Styela clava: one gene and its partner. Each later gene encodes a partner of the first gene's protein in a complex. Links are inferred from orthologs where the notes say so. Each region holds a gene or a part of one and is shown in the gene's direction. Other genes may lie near its edges. The genes, in order: checkpoint protein HUS1-like and cell cycle checkpoint protein RAD1-like.

The links.
Region 2: checkpoint protein HUS1-like (region 1) and cell cycle checkpoint protein RAD1-like share a complex: the UniProt entries of both Drosophila melanogaster proteins name them as parts of the 9-1-1 checkpoint clamp complex. The link is inferred for Styela clava from reciprocal best matches to the Drosophila melanogaster genes Hus1-like and Rad1.

The regions. Positions count from the first base shown.
Region 1 is NC_135253.1:6,346,503-6,356,965, reverse strand, and holds checkpoint protein HUS1-like, read left to right. Parts: upstream 1-5,930; 5' UTR 5,931-6,021; coding exon 6,022-6,073; intron 6,074-6,352; coding exon 6,353-6,480; intron 6,481-6,950; coding exon 6,951-7,127; intron 7,128-7,199; coding exon 7,200-7,337; intron 7,338-7,487; coding exon 7,488-7,603; intron 7,604-8,302; coding exon 8,303-8,472; intron 8,473-8,836; coding exon 8,837-8,922; 3' UTR 8,923-8,983; downstream 8,984-10,463. Other genes in the region: uncharacterized protein LOC120327064, read right to left, coding at 1-102, 494-650, 2,920-2,922; focadhesin-like, read right to left, coding at 9,732-10,463. UniProt on the Drosophila melanogaster protein: Component of the 9-1-1 checkpoint clamp complex. Involved in both meiotic and somatic DNA damage responses.
Region 2 is NC_135258.1:12,550,518-12,559,564, forward strand, and holds cell cycle checkpoint protein RAD1-like, read left to right. Parts: upstream 1-5,077; 5' UTR 5,078-5,125; coding exon 5,126-5,953; 3' UTR 5,954-5,968; downstream 5,969-9,047. Other genes in the region: protein FAM227A-like, read left to right, coding at 2,681-4,372; tyrosine--tRNA ligase, mitochondrial-like, read left to right, coding at 6,199-6,496, 6,973-7,266, 8,113-8,293.

The DNA.
Region 1 (10,463 bases):
ATTTCCCAGGCAATCTTGTATATCTGGTTGAAAAATGTCCAGGTTCACATTTTTTGCAGTGATAATCTCGAGTTCCGCTACAGGTTCTTTTGATGTATGTACCTTTGATGAATACCAGATAACGAGATCAGACAACAATAATACACACACATTTCATCGTAATAAAGCCTGTTGAGTTTGTCAAAATAAAATATTTTTTGTCGTATTCGTCATATCATATTATAATTGATATCGAAATTTTGTTGCATTTTCATGGCTCATAAGTTTGGGGAGAATTTGTGGGGAGATCAGTTGCAAATGACGTCAATCTGTGAATCACAAGACTACCGAGAAAAACTGCAAAGTCATTTCTCAGCGCGTGACATTTATTTTGTCTTAGTATAAACACCATGGTTCACCTGAATCAAATAAAGTCTCAGCATTCCGTGGCTCTAATACGTAGAGTCATATGACGCTAGGCTTGTACAAGTTACAAACAAAAATTAGCATATACCTGGTTCACATATACCACAGGCTTGACAAGCTTGTCTTGTGGCGTTGAAGAATGAGCTTTCACCACATTTTACGCGTTTGTTATTTTCATTTCTATATCCGACTACAAGTGTTGCAACAGTGAATAACAGCAACAATGCGGCACATATCTTGGTTATCTAAAAATGAAAATATTTCGATTCAGCATACATTTTGAAGTATTGAAATACACAAAATGAATATTCGTTGACTAAAAATCAAAAATCCATGGTTTGTTTGGTGCTCGTTTTCTCGCTCGTACCAAATTGTATACATGTGTAAATTCACCTATAATGGGAATTTACTCGGTACTCTTGAAGTATGCGCACCAAGATGTCGCACAACCTGAACCCCAACCTGGTACACAACCTGAGTTCAGATTGTGCGCCATCTTGAGCGCATACTTCAGGAGGTCCGTTTACTTTTTCATGGGCATTGACTTGCCGCACACACACTCATTATCTAGAATAGCGACTACAACTAGGCAAAAAAACCTTACGGTACGAAATTTATGACGACCCTTCGTGTTGGTACAAGATATGTTATTGAGGTTTGAAACCAGGATGACATATTAGGGTCCAACTGCTATTTTATAGCACATTACATAACATATTTATTCATAGCACAATTGTTTGTAATATAAGGAATTTACACGAGGTGCTTTTCAAACTTGTGCAGTTTATCAAATATTTGAATTGTGACGTTGAAAAAGGATGGTGCAATGCATCACCCTATTTCTATAGTTAAACTATTACGTCAGTATCTTTATTTATAAAATCCAATATTTATGAAATGTAACTTTTTTAATATTTTGTGTAAAAATTGAATTTTGTTTTTGTAGTTTCATTTTATGAATAAATTAGCGATATTACAACTTGTTACGTTTACATAAGAGGCCTAATTTCAGTGTATTGATCGACAATCCCTTTCCATAATTTGTCCTTCAAAATTGCTGAGTGTACCCAATTGATACAGCACGCGGTCATGCGAAGCCCGCCGAGAAAGATAACACCTAGAAATTTTTCGTAAGTTTCCAGACGGTACAAAAATATCACTGGTGTTTATTTTACCTATCACCTTACATATAGACAATAGGATTATCGTATTGAAGCACCCTGATACATACTGAAGTAAAGTGATTGGCACCTTATAATATGTCGCCAACAACAGGTATCTTTGATGCGACCACACGCGTAGGTTGAGGTCGCAATAAAGCCTTTTCCGTCCGTGTAAAACAGACACCACAGTTTTTATTAATAATAGTTTAGTCTAGCGTTACGTCGAGTGTAAGAAATACCTCGGTATGATATTTCGTCAGAGACAGAAACAGACGAAACACTTTCGCTTGTTCTGTGACGTTTACTTGCGCAAGAGTAGCCTAGTTGCGCAAATACGTATTAATATTTACTTAATACATTCAACACACAAAATATATCGGTGTTTCCCATCAAACGTCAAATTTATTTTTACCAGTAATTTTATGTCGCCGAAGTATAGTTTCACCTGTTTACTACATGAACTGCATGAATTTGATAAGCGTTAAGTTTACAGTTCCTAACCTGAGAATGGCATAGTCTAACTTAGTTTTGATTCTGAATGGATCTGCTGTATGCAGGCTGTTGATTTCAGTGAAATAAAAATACTATTGTCATCTAAAAAGCCTTTTGCGTTTTTGGTAATCCTACTATTAAAATATCGTCATCATAGAATATAGATAGATATTAGATTCTATTATTGCCAAAGCCAAAAACAAGAAGCGGGATATAGATTTCAATAAGAAAAACATAAATAACTCATTTTCACTAATTCTCAATCTACCTCGGATATTCTCGTCCGGGAAAAAAATGCCATGCGAATATATACACCTTTTAAACATGTCGCATTTGGGATGTAATTCGATATAATTTTTTTTTTTTCATTTCTACCCGATTTCTATAGCGGTTACAGGCATTTCTTAAAATTTTGAGAACGAGATTTACTAATATATTCTAATCGTTATAACAAAATAGACCTCATTTGACTCGCAAAATTTCTTACAAGTCAGGGCGGTAAGATAGACTACAGAACCACCAGTGGTATTAAACTTGTCCCTACTGAAATATATCTTTCCTGTAGCTATTAGTTCAATATATCTGATCATATTGCGAGTTGGCATTTAAACTAAAAAAATATAAAAGTGCGGTCTCGCACTGTTATTGCATCACCACTTTTATATCTTATTTTCTGATTGTGTCGTCTATCGTAGGTTAGTTAGAATATTTCAGATTTTAATATTGCCCCACTTTTTTCCTTTTAATATTGATGAGGATGCAGCAATAACGTAACCTACCATAAACTAACCTAGCCTAAGATAGTGGTGAGACAATATCAAAATCATAAATATTTAATTTTTTAAAGTACAGTACTCACCATTTTATACTGTGTGACTGTGTAGAACTGAAATTTTGCGAGAAGTCGATCGAGGTTTTTATATTGTAGAAAAGGGGGTTTCTCACTCGAAATTACAACAAGGGGCGTTTATGGAAGAATTCCCCAGAAGAGGCGATGATGTAATGGTCGACGTTTCATGTTTACGCTTAGTGCGCGTGACACATTGCTCAAAAGCGGTTTCGAAGAAGATCGCATTCGAGTTAGGCATAATTCGTTCAACATTTTGTAAGTAAATGTTGAATATTATAATTTGTTGATCTATTTTAGTTCAACTCATTCAGTTTCAGAAGCAACAAATGAAAAGCAAAAATTGTTAATCTTCGTTTTTACCGAAACTACTTATTCACAGACGACTAAAGCCACAAGTGTCGAAACTATATATATTGCGAAAATATAAGCTGATAGTTAGCTGCGAAACAAAAGAGTTTCGACTTGTATCGTATCTTTCTATTTTTATTTTCTTCTTACTTTCTCTCTTTATGAAAATAAAACTCCTGACATTTCGGTGAATTGATACCTTGAGGTTATGTACAAATAACTTGATGCGATATCACTTTTTCATAACCGCTAGGTATCAATTCAGCGAAATGTCGTGCATCAATTCTTAAATTCTTGTATCCCTGATAAACATCTATTTCATTCAACGATTTCTGGTTTTTTTGTTTTCGGGGTGGATTATATCAGAAACATCTCCAATTTCAGCTACGCGGTTCAACAGCAAATAAGCATACGGTGTTTCCCCGAATATAGGACAGGGTGGTATTTCAATTATCTTCCAAAAAATAGCACTAGGGCTCATTTTCGGTGATGTGTTTCAATTTCATTTATTAAAAACGAAATTACAAAGTAGAAAATAACGAGATTTTCAAATATGGAAACCGATATCCCTTTACTTATAAATAACGCGTTTTTATTAAAAAAAAAAAAAACTGCTAAACATAGATTGATTTGAAATAAACCATATCACCATCCTCTGGAATGTCTTGCATGCCAATGAAGATTTAATTTAATTGAATTTTTTGTCGAATTTTTGCACCTGTAGTTTCATGTCGACAATGAAAGGTCTCATCGATTGAGAACTTCATTGAACCTTATCGTCTCATATACATAGATTAATCATTTAAAACGCGTGGGAGAGATTTCTTTCTATCGACTAAGTCAAAAGATACTATCGCTATGTCTTATTTTAAGGGGGAGGGCTTATAAAATCATTTTCAAATTTGAGGCTAGGTTTTATTTTCGGGAAAACAAGGTAGTATGTTTTTTTAAATGCCTGGTATCAAACGTTTTGAAAACCTTTTCACCCAAGCGTATTGGCAAAGCCAATATAAGGGAAATTACATAAACTTCTTCAATGGAACCAGTCGGGAGCGATTGCAGTTCCTGATTATGGAACGAAAAATATTCCCATCAGCAGTTCCCATAGTTTGTAATTGGTGGAGTTCATCACCCATTGATTCAAAAAAAAAAAACTGTAATTTAAATTAAAGGATCAGGCTTATACAATCAAAATTTGTCAGCTATCGTAATGGGGAACCTATAACATTTTATCTACAAATATTTGCTTTGGTGCGGGATTAGCGATATATATTTTTTTCAATTCCTTCTTTCCGATATATTCACTTTTACTATCGTATCTATGAATTATCAAAAGCCTATAGCTGAAAAGAATTTTTTTTATTGCGCCATTACGTAGTTATGGGTTACTAAGTAAGTAAGAAACTTTATGGTAATTACGTCATTGAAACAAGATAAATCCAAGCGCTTGAGAATGGAATCACTCAATACGGATTACAAGAAGTAGTTTGTGTTGTTGCAACAAAAATACTGCGGTTAGTTACTGCACCACCCTGTCCATATATTTGTAAAATGCTGTTATTTTGGTTTCAATATATTTGGGGCTACTCGGAGCAAATTAAGTTTATTTTGAAAATATATGCCAGTACATGGGTTATCCGCTGTAGATCACAATTCTCTGTTTCAAGTAAGTCACCGACTCAGCATGCCATGGAAAGATTTTTAGGTGGACCACAGAACTATTAAAAAATGCCACAGTTGATTTATGTCACTATCAATAATTTTGATTGCACTAACAATGATTGTTTTCTGAGTAATAAGTTTCTTTCTAATTATTAAAGTGAAAGTGTCCATTTTTACAGAAAGATTTGGATTTTTTTTCTAGTTTATCACTTGCAAAAATGTATGGGTCACAAGAATTTTTGGGCAGCGAAAATTGGCCACAAAAGTAAAAAGGTTAAGATTTGAGAACCACTGCCCTAGATGGATAGATATGCATAACTACCGTGTTTCCCGAAAATAAGACTGGGTCTTATTTCATTTTTTTCGAAAAATAACACTAGGACTTATTTTAGGGGGATGTCTTATATTTTCATTTATCAAAAACAAAATTATGAAGTAGAGAATTACAAGATTTTCAAATATGAAACCGATATCAAATTACTTTTAAATAACACGTTTTTAACTGCAAAATAACTGCAAAACATGGATTACCAATCATTCAAAAAGTTTAGGAGAAATTTCTTGCTATCAACTACCGGTAGGTCGAAAAAAAATCACGTTATTGACCAGGTCTTATTTGAAGGGGGTGGTGGCTTATATTAAAATCATTTTTAAAATTAAGGCTAGGTCTCATTTTCAGTGTAGGTCTTATTTTCGGGGAAATCAGCACAAGAAGCAAAAATACTGCGGAGAAACTAACAAAAATGCGTATATAAATTTTTGCACTAACACGAACAACAATTTAGCAATACGAATTATAGTTATGAACATATTCAGGATGCGGAACGCATCATTCCAATTTTCCGAAGAACTAAGAAAGAAAAAATGACCGGGCATTTTATATAGAACTACGTTGCACCTACAACACAGAACTCACGATAAAGAATTTCATGCAAAGACAATTAGAACAATCGTTAGAATTCCATGGATGAACTCAATAAAAATCTGGCAACTAAGAATAGCTTAACACTTTCTTATGGGGGATCCCCCCGATTCACATTGCCGCGCTTGTTCAATTGTGGAATTTGCGAGTCGCTTATGCTTTTAAGTCACTAAAACAGGATGCGTTTTCGAGCAAAAGTTGTTGATATCGGATGTGTGCACCACTTGACAAGTGAGTACTATTTCCAGGCTGTTCAAGGAAAGAAGTAAACTATTTACCCATAGTTTCAAATTATGTAGGCTAGGTCTATATAAAACTAACACTTTAGTCTAGATACCGGTACCGTCAGGCGTGTGGTACCGGTACCGTATCGTACTCAAACCGGGTTCAGGGATATTTCCCTATAATATAATATCAAAACCGTGAGAGCTAGTACATCCATACATGGTTAACATACCGTGAGTAAGTAAGTGTTAGTTAGAATTATTCAATTTATGCATTGTATTTCAGGAGTTGTGAATACAATATCCAAACTTTTAAAGAAATGCACCCTCCGTTTCACTTCTGAAAAAGTTTATTTCATTCTACCAGATCAGGTTTCTAATGGAGGGGTCAGCATGTGGTGTGAAATCAAGCAGGTATGTGTTTTCGTATTAGATATAATGTGTTGGCCAATTTCAATGATAATTGAGCATTCAGGGAACTCAATCATTGTCAGAGTGGCACCCAATCAGCTTCTACTTTTTGGATTTACATATTTATCCCGGGGTAGAGGAAAGACTCTTTAATCGGCCTCTCGTCCGGTTACCAATCCATGTTGGGTATGGGATTAGTTAGCCAGTTATTTATTTTCGGAAGCATGGACTTGATGGTGGAGGAAGCCGCAACCGATCACATGAACCACCCTACGGCGGCGAGGAGTTCAGCAATTCTTTCGCACATAGCTATCCCCGGATACACGCAGTGTAATCAGAGGTGCGAATGCATTCCTAACGCTTAGCACGATTCGCCACACCGCCAAGCCTTAATTTTTGTTTTCATATAAAAAGTAATTTTTCAAACTTGAGTTATCCGGATACAGAGTATTGAACGATATGCATTTTTCTAGGAAAACTTCTTTGATGAATACCAGATGGAAGGAGTAAACAAGGATTGCAATGAAATCTATCTTGAGGTTGTAGCAGAAAATTTAAGTCGAGCACTGAAATCTGCACAAGCTGCAAAAGCATTAAAAATCAAACTGACGAAGAAACAAAGTCCATGTCTATCACTAGAAGTTGAATTGGTAAAGATATATAGAATTTAAGACATAAAGGGCTTTATTCATTGATAATTGCCATATAATAAAACATTTCAGCCATCTCTAGCGTCTGACTCGCGGACTGTAACACATGATATTCCTGTAACAGTAATACCAAGAAGACTGTGGGGAGATTATGCAGAGCCAAATATGCCAAACTACCATGTGACAATATTTATGCCTCCATTGAAAATGGTGAGATCGTTTTAAATACCAATAACAGTGTGTTTAATCAATATGCCTGCCTGAATTTGCATATTAATTTATACATATATAGTTTTTATAGGGCCTAAAATTATTTTTATGCCATCTTCAATTTGTATGAAAAAAAATAATTGTTATCAGGTCAAGACAATTGCGGAAAAAATGAAAAACATCAGCTCATATTTGATTCTTGCTGCAAATCAGCAGGGTGAGATGTTGATGAGAGTTGACACAGATCTTGTTACAGTGAAAACTAGGTAAAGCTGTTCAACATATTATTTCAAAGTATCTGCATGTCCGAAACTGCCAATCATGTGTCTGGTTTTCTGCTTTCTTGTATACATTTGTCCTGACATGTAGTCATCAGATTAATATTTCAAGGACTATTATTACAATAATTGAATAATATTATTACAATAACTCGAAAATTTTTTGCATTTCATTTTTGTCACGAAAGACATCAATAGATCGTTTGAAGATATTTGGTTTGATATTGATTGGCTAAAAATGACACCAGGACATATCTACAGTATAGTCCAGTGCTGTGAGGTCAGAGTTTGGTTGTCCTAGACCAGACAAGTATGGCCCGTGAGCGAAATCCGGCCCGTCCGATGCTGCCACGACCAAACTTTGATGTTTTAGTTAAATATAACTCAAGGTATTTGTTGAGATTGCGGTTAAATTTAGTTTTGGCATGAGGTTTATTGTTTTCCACTGTTGCTTTTGTAACACTGTAAACATTGTTCATAAAATGAAACTCTTTACCTCATACTTACATGGCCCGCCAGTCTAGGTGGGCAAATTGGCCCCTAATCTAAAAACCGTGCCCACACCTGTCTGCCCTAGACTCTGCAGCCCTAGTATAGTAGGTGGTATACATGACAAAGTGCGAGCTCGAATTTGTGTGCTGTTTCCGATATTTTGACAATAAAAGCAGACATTTTTTATGTTTTTAGTTTTCAAGATCTGGATATCCCTGATGTGCGCATGGAAGATGAAGAAGTCCAAAGTGTCTCTCACAGGCTTGCTTGGCCTCCTGATGAGTTTGCCAGTGCTAGAATAGATATCAAAAAATTTCTGCAGTTTTTGGCAGGACAGATTATAAACCCAGAGCGTGTGATTTGCAGTAAGTGTTTTTGGACATGAATTGACCTATGTATCTTTTTGTTGTTGTTGTGAAAAATTTGCTTTTCTCTTCAACTACTCGACGAATTGTTTTAAAATTTCAGGTGGTGAGAGCTTGTTGCTATTATTTTTATTTATTTCAAAAATTTCTGTGTGATGGCCTCATTAAAATTGGAAACTGTGCACCGTAGTCACATCTCAGTGATTTGGTGGTTAGACTACTTGCAGTGTAAAAGATTTGATACTACTTGTTTTGGCCTTTGTGTCTATTTTGAGCAATGGCCAGTTTTCAGTTTTTGTTAAATATTTATTTAATTCCCCAAATTTGACATGTGCTATAACAAATGAAATGTCATTTTTTGCAGATATCGTTGATGGGACCATAGTACAATTTTTCCTTCTTCATGATGAATTATCTCTGCAATATTTCATACCTGCCATAGCAAGATGATACTTCAATATGTGTTAATGTTTTTCTGAACTTGTTAATATATATTTTTTGTTCAACTTTGTATGTATGTGAATTTTCCTGTTGCCCAAATTGGTGGATAAAATGTAGTTATCATAGAGAAAACATAGACAGGTCATGCCAAGCTCTTATTCAATGGTTGCAAGTTTGGGCTGACCAGACACTCAAATGACTTGGAACCTTGTGAAGACAGAGGAACGAAGGTGTACTTATAGATGTTGAATGGCGGTGGTTGAGAAAGAAATGCTGCTATATGAGACAAGCAGGAATAGGCCAGAAAATATGTGTGACGCACTAACTAAGAACAATCGAACCTACGTCAGTTGAGGCCAGACCCCTGGATTTCAAATCTGGTCTCAAAACAGCAACCCTAGTATTGAGCTCATGATTGCGGTCCCTCGCCCTTTATGTTCTTTTAGTTACAATTTTGTGATGGTGATCTCTCACCCGTCAGTATGAAAACGACCAATGTAAAGTTTTGCCCTGGTCATCATTTTCAGTACAGCAGGGGTTATTGATTAGAGACTAAACTGATTAAGCATAAAATCTTTAGTGCCCTTACAATCAGACTAAATACATCAGTGTAGTGAAAGAGAAATGGCATTTACAGTAGCTGAACCCATATTGGCAAAATATGAACAAATAAGTCGTATATATATGACTTTTATTTTAACAAACCATACCAACTATAAAAAGGGAATGGTGTTTGACAGTGACAAGATCAGTAGCAGGAATGCTCAACATAAACTAATTGCTTCAAGATATTAAATTTGAATCATGATTGTAGACCATCAATTATCTTGTCTAAGCATCGGCTTGACAATTGCAGTTACTACTTTGCACCAAACGGAGGGTAATTGGTATCCTTTTGTATTAACAGCTGCATACAGAGCACCTCTAAATGGTTGTTCCCAACTTTGCATTGAACCAATGACATTTACCTTCTGCAACATCATTATCAACCAATCAGTCATATGCTTTATTAAATTTTCCCATTTCTCGGACTTGTATAACATTGATAGGGAGAGCGGAAACATATGTTTGCAGTCATTTAGACATGTAGACTGAACTTTCAAAATCATGGAACTATTCTTGTAGTGTCCCATAATGGGCAAAGAACTCCCAGCAGTTGACCAAAAAGCAACTGCCATAGATAATATATTAATACAATAATCTAACAGCCCATGATCGAGTTTCTCTGAAGATTCGACTATTTTCTTAATCTCACCCATCAGTTCTTGTAGCCATTCAATCTGGCTATGCACTTGTTCTTTTCTTCCAATACCACATAAACATTGACCAATGATCCACAAAGACTCATTACGAATACTTTCATCTTTGCCACACTTGAGAATTGTATTATTACACATGTTCAGTGGATGTGTACCAGTAAGTGTACAGCAACACCTGATAAATAAGCACTTTAGAAGATTGCTGGAAAGAGCATTTTCAACTTCGTAATTTGAAAGCAACGCATTGGCATCAGGCAGGCATTCTATGCATTCAGACAACTTTCGTAAAAC
Region 2 (9,047 bases), on another chromosome or scaffold:
ATACTTGAGATATCAAAATGTTCGATTGTTTTTGGTGAAAATGGCATTTTTGATAATTTTTTTTCTAATGTTTTCCGACATTGACCAGAGCAGCTGTTGCCATCTAAATTCTGATGAAAATATGAAATTCTTATCAAACTCTATGCATGTGCAAAAATTTAAAGTTAGGCACAGCTGCGGTGCATGTATTTGTCCTGTTTTTTTGCAAATTATTTTGTATTTATGGTTTTATCAGATGTTACAAACATTAGTGTATGTAATTTGTTAATTATCCTGTAAGGTATGTAATTTATATCTGCATATTGGCTGATAAAAATAATTTATGATCTAGTGTTGGTTTTGCCACATTGATTACAACACAGCAGAGAGAGAATCGCCTTGAAAATGTGTCTGTAACATTTCTTGTGTTATATGTTCTTGTAATTGTTAGGTAATCTTTACGTAGTGTATAATTAAAAGTGGGAATTATACAATATTTTTATTGCTAATCAAATTCACTGAAGTTGGGGATTAATTGTGGACGATATTATTTTAACTATCAGTAGAGGTTGCGTGACACTAACTCCCAATCCTTCCTCAATGCCTTTGTGTATGCGTATAATGCAAGGATGTTGCGGCAGGAATAAAAATACCATGCTATACATACTCAATTTGAATTGATTAGTATGGTATTATTGTAGTTCATGTTTCATATTCATTCATCCAAATCTAATTGTTAACAGAAAAAAATGTGCCCAATCATATTTTAGGACTAAATTTACGTTACTTTATGAAATTGTTTAGGGTGCATATCCTTAAAGTGGTATCATCCTTCATTTATTACGTAAGAGGGTATTAGTTTTGGAACAATTTTTTTCTTAAATTAAGCTCAGAGTTGAAAATTTTTAGTTCTGATTATAAAGATGTATTTCATGTGGTACTGTCCTTCATTTAAATATGTAATAGGGTATTAGATTAGAAACCTTTATTTCTCAAATTAAGCTTTAGAGTTGAAAATTATTAGTTCTATTATAAAAATGAATACAACTACATAATATTCTGCTCAAAGTTGGTTATTAAAGTCTAAAAAATAAGACAATTTTTGAATTTAAATATTGATCGCTAGATTACATGTACTTTGTCATTATTAAGATTTTTTAAGCCAAGTTCCATGGTTAATTGTTTTTTGATAGAAATGCAGTCATTGATCGCTGGCAATAGTGTAGCAAGCGTAGGTTTTATTTTGTTGAATGCATTGTGCAATCATTGTTAAATCTTATCAAGTTGTTCCAATTCAAAGTGACTGAAAAGTTTTACCAAAACTTGTGCTTCCCGATGCCTTTCTTTTGGGGCCTCAATATCATTTTTTATAAAAATTGTTAGTTTTAGTCAAAAGTTTCTATTTGTTGTTTCTTTGAATGGCATCAATTATTGGTTACATACTACTTCAATGCAAAAATGTTTAGAAAATTCTGGATTCAAAATTGATTGTGCTTTGTTAACACTGGTTGTAATTTTTTTACAACTAAACATGGTATAATCAGTGCTTACAATCATTAGTAAGTGGCAAACGTTTTTCCATTTTGATTCTGGAATAATAAAAATAAAGCACAAAATCTTGGGTTGAAAATTTTGTTGTTTAATATTAGTTTACAAAAAAACTTCATCCTTTTTTCATCCTGAAACACATAAATGTCCTCTACAATCACTTTCTGAAATTTGCACACTTTATGCAATATTATATCTGATATAATATTATTCAAAAGTGTCTTGTTTATTAAGTGCATAGGTATACAATGCCATCTTAAATGTTATATTTCAATATTGCTTAAATTATAAAAAGTCTGTTTTTGACAATGACACCAATCTTATTTGAATGTTCAGTGAATCCTTTGATTTGGTATTCCATACCGTTTCACATTATTTTACATCGATGGATAATGCAAAAAATCATATATAACTAATGTTTTTGTGTTTGTGTATACACTATCTATTGTGAGTTTAAATTGATATGTTATTGACGGAGTGCAAATATGAAACACTCTATAATGGTTTCATAGTTATTTGGAGAAAATAAGTTGAATCAAGGTAATTGTATTAAAATAAAATAAGTCCTTAAAAACTTTGTCCTTAGAATTCAATTCACCCACTGAAACTAAACGCCAACAAGCATCAACAAACACAATCAAGTCATTCACTTCTAAACAATGCTAAACACATTTCCAGATTCATTCCTAAAAAAATATTTTGGCATTTTTTTCTGAAATTTTGATCCAAATTATTGCTATAAAGATGTGTCAAATTTTGTGACAATAAATTAAACTTTTATCCTGATTTTTGCATATGGATCAATATAACAGCCTTCAACGAATCTCAATATGGCATAATATTTCAACCTAAAAAATGTCCAAAATGCTATTTTGACTTATTTCACTGTCGCTTGTAGTTGTGTAATTAAATAATTGTTTCTAAATCCCAGCCATATAACCTTAGTTGAATTTATATTTAGTATAGATATAGACTAATTATGCCAATGACCTATACTTTAGTTACACTGGGTTTTTGACTGGGATAATCACTGCACGCTTTCTAGGTTATGTGCTTTGCAATACTGTAAACGGATTTTGTTCTTATTTTAGAATGATAATGTAGTAATTTTTTTCCAAACAAAGACTGCTTTTTGGGTATAAAAATAAGAAAAATGTCACACATCAGTAGGATCGCGTCTCCTATGAGCTTATGTGAAGAGGATTTATTCGATGTTGACAAAAAAGTACAAAGCAAAATTCGTCTTCTTGAACAATTACAAAAAGAATCGCCCGCTTCTTTTCTTGTTGGTACGATTGGAAAAATTAACCAAAGAATCACCAATCTTGATGAAGAATTATCAAAATATGAGAGCCAGCTTGAAATTGACAGTAGAACACCAGAGCCGCAAAAGAGAACTGAATCTTATGCTGAAAGCTATTCTCCCTCTATGAGCATTCGTGGAACAACTCCTTCAGAGAAAAAGTATGGTGCTGATGTAGAAAAACAAGCTCCTGGAACTCCAAGAGCAAAATCAAGTGACGCTCCTCGATTGGTTGAACTCCAGCAGTTCCCAGGATGGAATAAGAAGAAATGTGCTCCTCTACCGCATTCTCTACAAACTAACAAGGTGCTTGATAATGTTGTCGCTGCTCAACCAGATTTGAAACACAAAGTTGCGTTTCGTCGGGAGTTTTGCAGACTACTGTTTTCAAAAATGCAAGAATCGATACTGCAAGATGGTTTCTGGTGGTTTTTCTTGAGAAAATTTCATCCTGATCCAATCAACCAAGGCAAGCTCTTTAAAAGAATATCAACCAATTTTGTTGGTCTGTTACTCAGTGCTGAAATTCCGAAGTATAGAGATTTGTTTTTCGCTAATTATGGTACAATTCTGGCTCAATCAATTTATGCTGCTTTTTGCCTTGCATTTCCGCAGTCATGGAGGCAGTTTGACGAACCAGCGTTCAAGGAAATGTTAGCTCAAGTTTGCGGCGAATGGATTTCAGGTATTCCACCGCCACCTCGCTCTTATGAAAAATGGAATATGGCAGCTTTAGAGCCAGATGGGATGCGAAAGGAGGAAGTTATAAAAAAGAAAAAGAGACCTGATCATGCAGCCAAGTCTCTAGGTGGAAGAGCAAGTTCATACAGCTCCGCTGCTTCAACTAAAACATCGTCAATTCGATCACCGACTGGATCTCAAAAAACGCATGGATTAAGAATGCATACTGCTAAATCAGATGCTGCATCTTGTGCACATTCTCCTAAACTAACACCGCGTGTTGCGGAATTAGCATCTGAGCAAAATGCCCTTTCAACAATTACAGAAGAACCTTTGACATCAACCACTGAAAGCACTGCTGGATTAAGAACGAAGTTTATTGCACCAAAAAGCGATTCATCTTGTGCTGCTGGGCGTGCAATGGAGTTTTCAAGGAATGTCTTCAACGTGTATGGTCGCTCACCATTGCTTGTTCAATTTTCTCGTCAATATGGTTTCGAGAAAAAATCCTTTTTTGATGTATTAGTCCAGCATTCACTTATTCAAACACCACCAGCTAAAGATGCCCAAACCTATCAAGACATCATTTACGAGAGCAGAATTAAAGCATCCGCCGCAGCACAATCTTTCAAACATATTTACGAAGAAGACATGAAAGCTCACAAATCTTTTTGTGCAAAACAGCGAGAGGAATTACAAAATTTCAAAAAGAAAACGGATAAATTATTGTCGAAGCCACGTCAAGTTCACTATCTTAGTAATCTCATCTTGATGGAAATGAAGAACTTAGAAGAAGATACGAATCCGGTTGGTGCCACTGCAACAGTTCAAGCTGCTTTATCTGCAGAATCAGCTGATTAAAATGTTAGATAACATATCACTGTGCCTTATCAGTTATCTTAGTATTAATATATAAATTGTATTATGTTGTCATAGTTTTAACATCTATTGTTCACTGTAATTTTCGTAACTGCTGTACTACTACTTTACCTAAATATATCTTCAAGTGTAGTTTTAATTTTATAGTTATAATATATTTAAGTTTCATTGCCATGATTATACCATACAAATTGATACAATGTATTTTACCAAAGTTGTGTGTGCTTATTGTAGTTTTACAAGCATATAATAAAATGACATGTTTTCGAAAATTATCATAAATTCCATAAAAAGTGCTTCGTGATATTATTTTATCTAATATATCTTCAACTGTTTGTAGTTTTTTGAATGAATTTAGATTAAAATTATTCGTTGGTGCCATTGACATGATTATACAATGATGTAATTTATCAAATTTTTGCGTGCCTATAAGCCCATTGTATTGTTACAAGTATTTAATAGAATGATATTTTTTTAGTTATTATTACAAATTCCAAAAAAAGAGTACTTCATGGTATTATTTTACCTAACATATCTTCAAATGTTTGTAGCTTACCTGTTACAGCATAATTTAATGAAATGTCATTGCCATGACTATACAATGCTGTTTTTTATAATATGTTTGTGTGCTTATTGCCTATTATAGTTTTACAAGCATATAATAAAATGATTTGTTCTATTTTTAGATATTACTGTTAATCCAAAAAAGCTGTTTTACTTTATAAATATTGATAAATGGATGGCACAACGCTTGAAGATGAGGATTACACATTCCTAGCCAAACTTGGTAATGCAAGAAATCTTTCACACATTTTAAAAGCGATACATTTCAAAGATGTAGCAACTGTATTTGTAACAGAAAACGGTTTGAAAGTAACTGTAGAAGATGCGAAATGTTTGCAAGCTAATGCTTTCATTCAAGCAACTGTTTTTGATGAATATGATGTCCATGAAGAAGTAAACTTCTGTATCAATTTGAACGTTCTTCAAGAGTGTTTAACTATATTTGGAAGTAGTTCCATTATGACAACATCGTTAAAAATGGTTTATGGGGGATATGGTTCACCTCTTACTCTAACCTTAGAAGAAGAAAACATTACAACTGATTGTAGTATAAAGACGCAAGAGTCAGAAGAGACTCTAGATTTTGAATTCTGCGCTGCTAATGTTGTTAATAAAATTATAATGAAAGCTGATTGTCTGCGAGACGCTTTTAACGAGTTAGACCACACTTCTGATGTGGTTGAGATTACGATGTCTCCACAAAAACCATATTTCCGACTTTCAAGCTCAGGATATTGTGGACGAACAGATAATGATATTCATAAAGATTCTGATATGGTAGAAATCTTTCAATGCTCAGAGCCGCAGTCAAATCAGTACCGTTTATCCTTGCTAAAACCTTCCGTAAAAGCAGTTAATCTTGCAAGTAAAGTCTGTATAAGAATGGATCATCGTGGGTTTTTATCCTTCCAATACATGATCAAAAATGAAAGTGGACAAATTTGTTTTGTTGAATATTATTGTTGTCCAGATGAAAAATTTGATGAAGAAGATGTTTGACTTTAACACAAACCATTTTACCCTGTGCAAACTAGCAAAAAATATTCATGTATCTAAATATGAACCCATTCAGACCTTAAATCAACAGTATTAATAGCTGGGAAAGTACAGATGGCATCAGTAATTTTAGATTTTCACTTCATTTGTCAGTGGTTATTTAGCTTTCAATCATCAATTTCTTTTAAAATGTTGTTTATACACATAGTTCTTATTGTTTTTTACACTCTTTTCAGAATAGCATAAGCATGCTGTGTCCCATTATTAAATATCGTAATTTATTTTGTCATAAATGGACATCAAAGTTTTTTTCAATGTCCTGCGCAAAAAACAGCGTCAAAAAATCTTCAGTGATAAAGCCACAAAACATTCTTAACTTGCACAAGCGAGGACTTTTAGAAGATATTTTTCCAAATGCTTCTGTCTCATTGCCAGAGCAGTTATTAAAACAACAATGCTTTTATTGTGGCTTTGATCCAACATCCGACAGTCTACACATTGGAAATTTAATGTCTTTAATGCTACTGTTGCATTGTCAAAGAGCTGGTAAGTACTGTAAAGAATAGTAATCTCTAACAACATAGTTTTGCTGTATTATACTTTCAAAAATAGGAACATGGAAACAGAGTATTTTATGCTCAATACACAGAATAAACCAATAGCAAACTCAAGTAGAGAACAATGTATAACAAATACACGACAAAGTCCGTTACAGTGGCTGTGCTCCAGTACCTATCATGTAAAAATGCATTGTACTTAGTCCATAAAGCAATTTGTCAATTAAAAAATGATGAGAATTTTCATGTTTTAGTCTATACAAAATATTCATAGGTCTATTTCATATCTGATTATGTTGGTTTGTTTTAATGAAAAATGACGAGGAAAATTAGGGGACAAATACGATGGCCAGTTTTTCATCTAGAAACTTGAATTATATTTCTGAAATATATATCTGTGCTTTGTATTCAACGTTGTTTCAAAAAAAGTGTTCTTATCCCTTCTAATAACGCTAATATTTATAGGACATAATGTGATCGCTGTTATTGGAAATGCAACTGCGAGAATTGGAGATCCGAGCGATCAAACAAAAGACAGAAATTCAGTCTCGACAGATGTATTAGACAAAAACACAAAAGGACTTATCAATTGTATCACAAATATATTTGAAACTCATGAACAGGAGCATTATATTCATCGCGGAGTTAAAGAACTACCAACAATAAAGATTTTAAATAATTATGATTGGTATCGAGATATCAATGTTGTGGATTTTTTTGCCAATGCTGGAAGGAAATTTCGAATGGGTCCTATGCTTGGTAGGTAAATAAATAAGGTATTTTGTTGTTCAGTTTTTTTGGTAAAATTAAACGAAATTCCTGATTGAAAATGAAGTATATATTATGTGTGAATATCAGGAAAAACGTAGTCAAAATTTATTCCTTGACAACCAAAGATGCAAAAAATAATTTCCTCCTGGAGTTTTATGGACTCTAATATTTTACCCCAATTTATTTTGTTTTTAATTCATAGAAACAATTTTTATAACATATTTGAGTACTTCTCTCTTGTTTTTTTCAGGTTCTAAATTTCATTTAATTTGCATTGCAATTAAATTTGTGTGCCTTGTTAAGTTACATACTGTAGCGAATGTGCATTGTGTAACTATGAATTATAATGTATTTAACCCTTTCATTTTAATAGTGTGTTCCATTTCCCACAATAGGTCATTTTATTGTAGCATTACTGATTACATGTACTGCCTTTCTCGTATCGACCAATTTGATGACGTATCGTTCCGGCTTGCCGAGAGGGCTGCAAATATTGTGTTTAGATTTCACTTCTGTTTTACTGCGTTAAGCGGTTGTGTTTTGTTTCACTCCTGATTTACTGTGTTAAGAGTTAAGTGTGTTGCAATTTTATCTGTTTCCGGAATTTGGATTGTGCATCTTCCTATAATATACAACAATCGAACTTAAATATATAGGTGATAGTCTTTATCCCCCCATCATCACCATCTCTTTATCCCTATAATACCATATGGATCAAAGCATTAAAACACTATTCCGTGCTTTAACGATGAATTTTGAAATTTTTACGATTTTACAAGGTAATTGTGTGAAAAGCATTTTTCTTAATTTCCAAATTTTTAACATTTCTTCTAGATAAAAGATTTGTAAAAGAAAGATTGAATAGTTCTGAAGGACTTCTTTTGCCTGAATTCCTGTATCAAGTATATCAAGCATATGACTGGTTACATTTATTACAAAATTATAATTGTCGATTTCAATTTGGAGGTTCCGATCAACTTGGTAACATGAATGCAGGACGTTATCTCATTGATCGGTAAGTTTAAATGTTCGTTTCATTCAACATATGGTGCTAAAGATATCATATATCACTACAGGAAAAGTTTGTATTCATTCATTAAGTGACCTATTACATACAGATCAAATCAAATCTTCTTATACTTCTAAATGAATTCTAATGGTTTAGTGTGACATTTTTTATTTTAAACGAAAATATTTTTGTTTAAAATATTATTCTCAATACGTTGACAATAACTCATGTATGTTGTTTGTTGGATTAAACAAAATTGAAATATATTCAATAGCAGAAATAGTTTTTCAGAATATGTTCTGAATAGTACAATATTTGGTTTTGCTTGTAACTGGATTGGTATTAGTTTAATGTGGTTATACATGCGAACTTGGATTTCATCACGAGATTAACATGCCTTGTGGTCACAGTTACGCTAGATCACATTTTACACCGCAAAAAACTTATAATGCTGTTCAATCATAATTTGGCGATCCACAAAAATGTTAACACTGTATCAACATGAAAAGGACTTCCTGAGCTTATTTTGTATGTGAATAGGTTCATTCATATCTAGCTATGAATAGAAAATGAAACATGAATTGCAGCAGGATTTTATTATATTTTTGTTTACTGTAAAACAAAACTATGTACTGGTATACATTTCTCTTTCTTTACTACAATTACTATAAACATTCAATGGGAAGACCAAGACTTTGTGATTATATTGTTTTGCCATTTTGGGTATATTGTTTGAACTTATGAATTTTTAAAGTTTTAC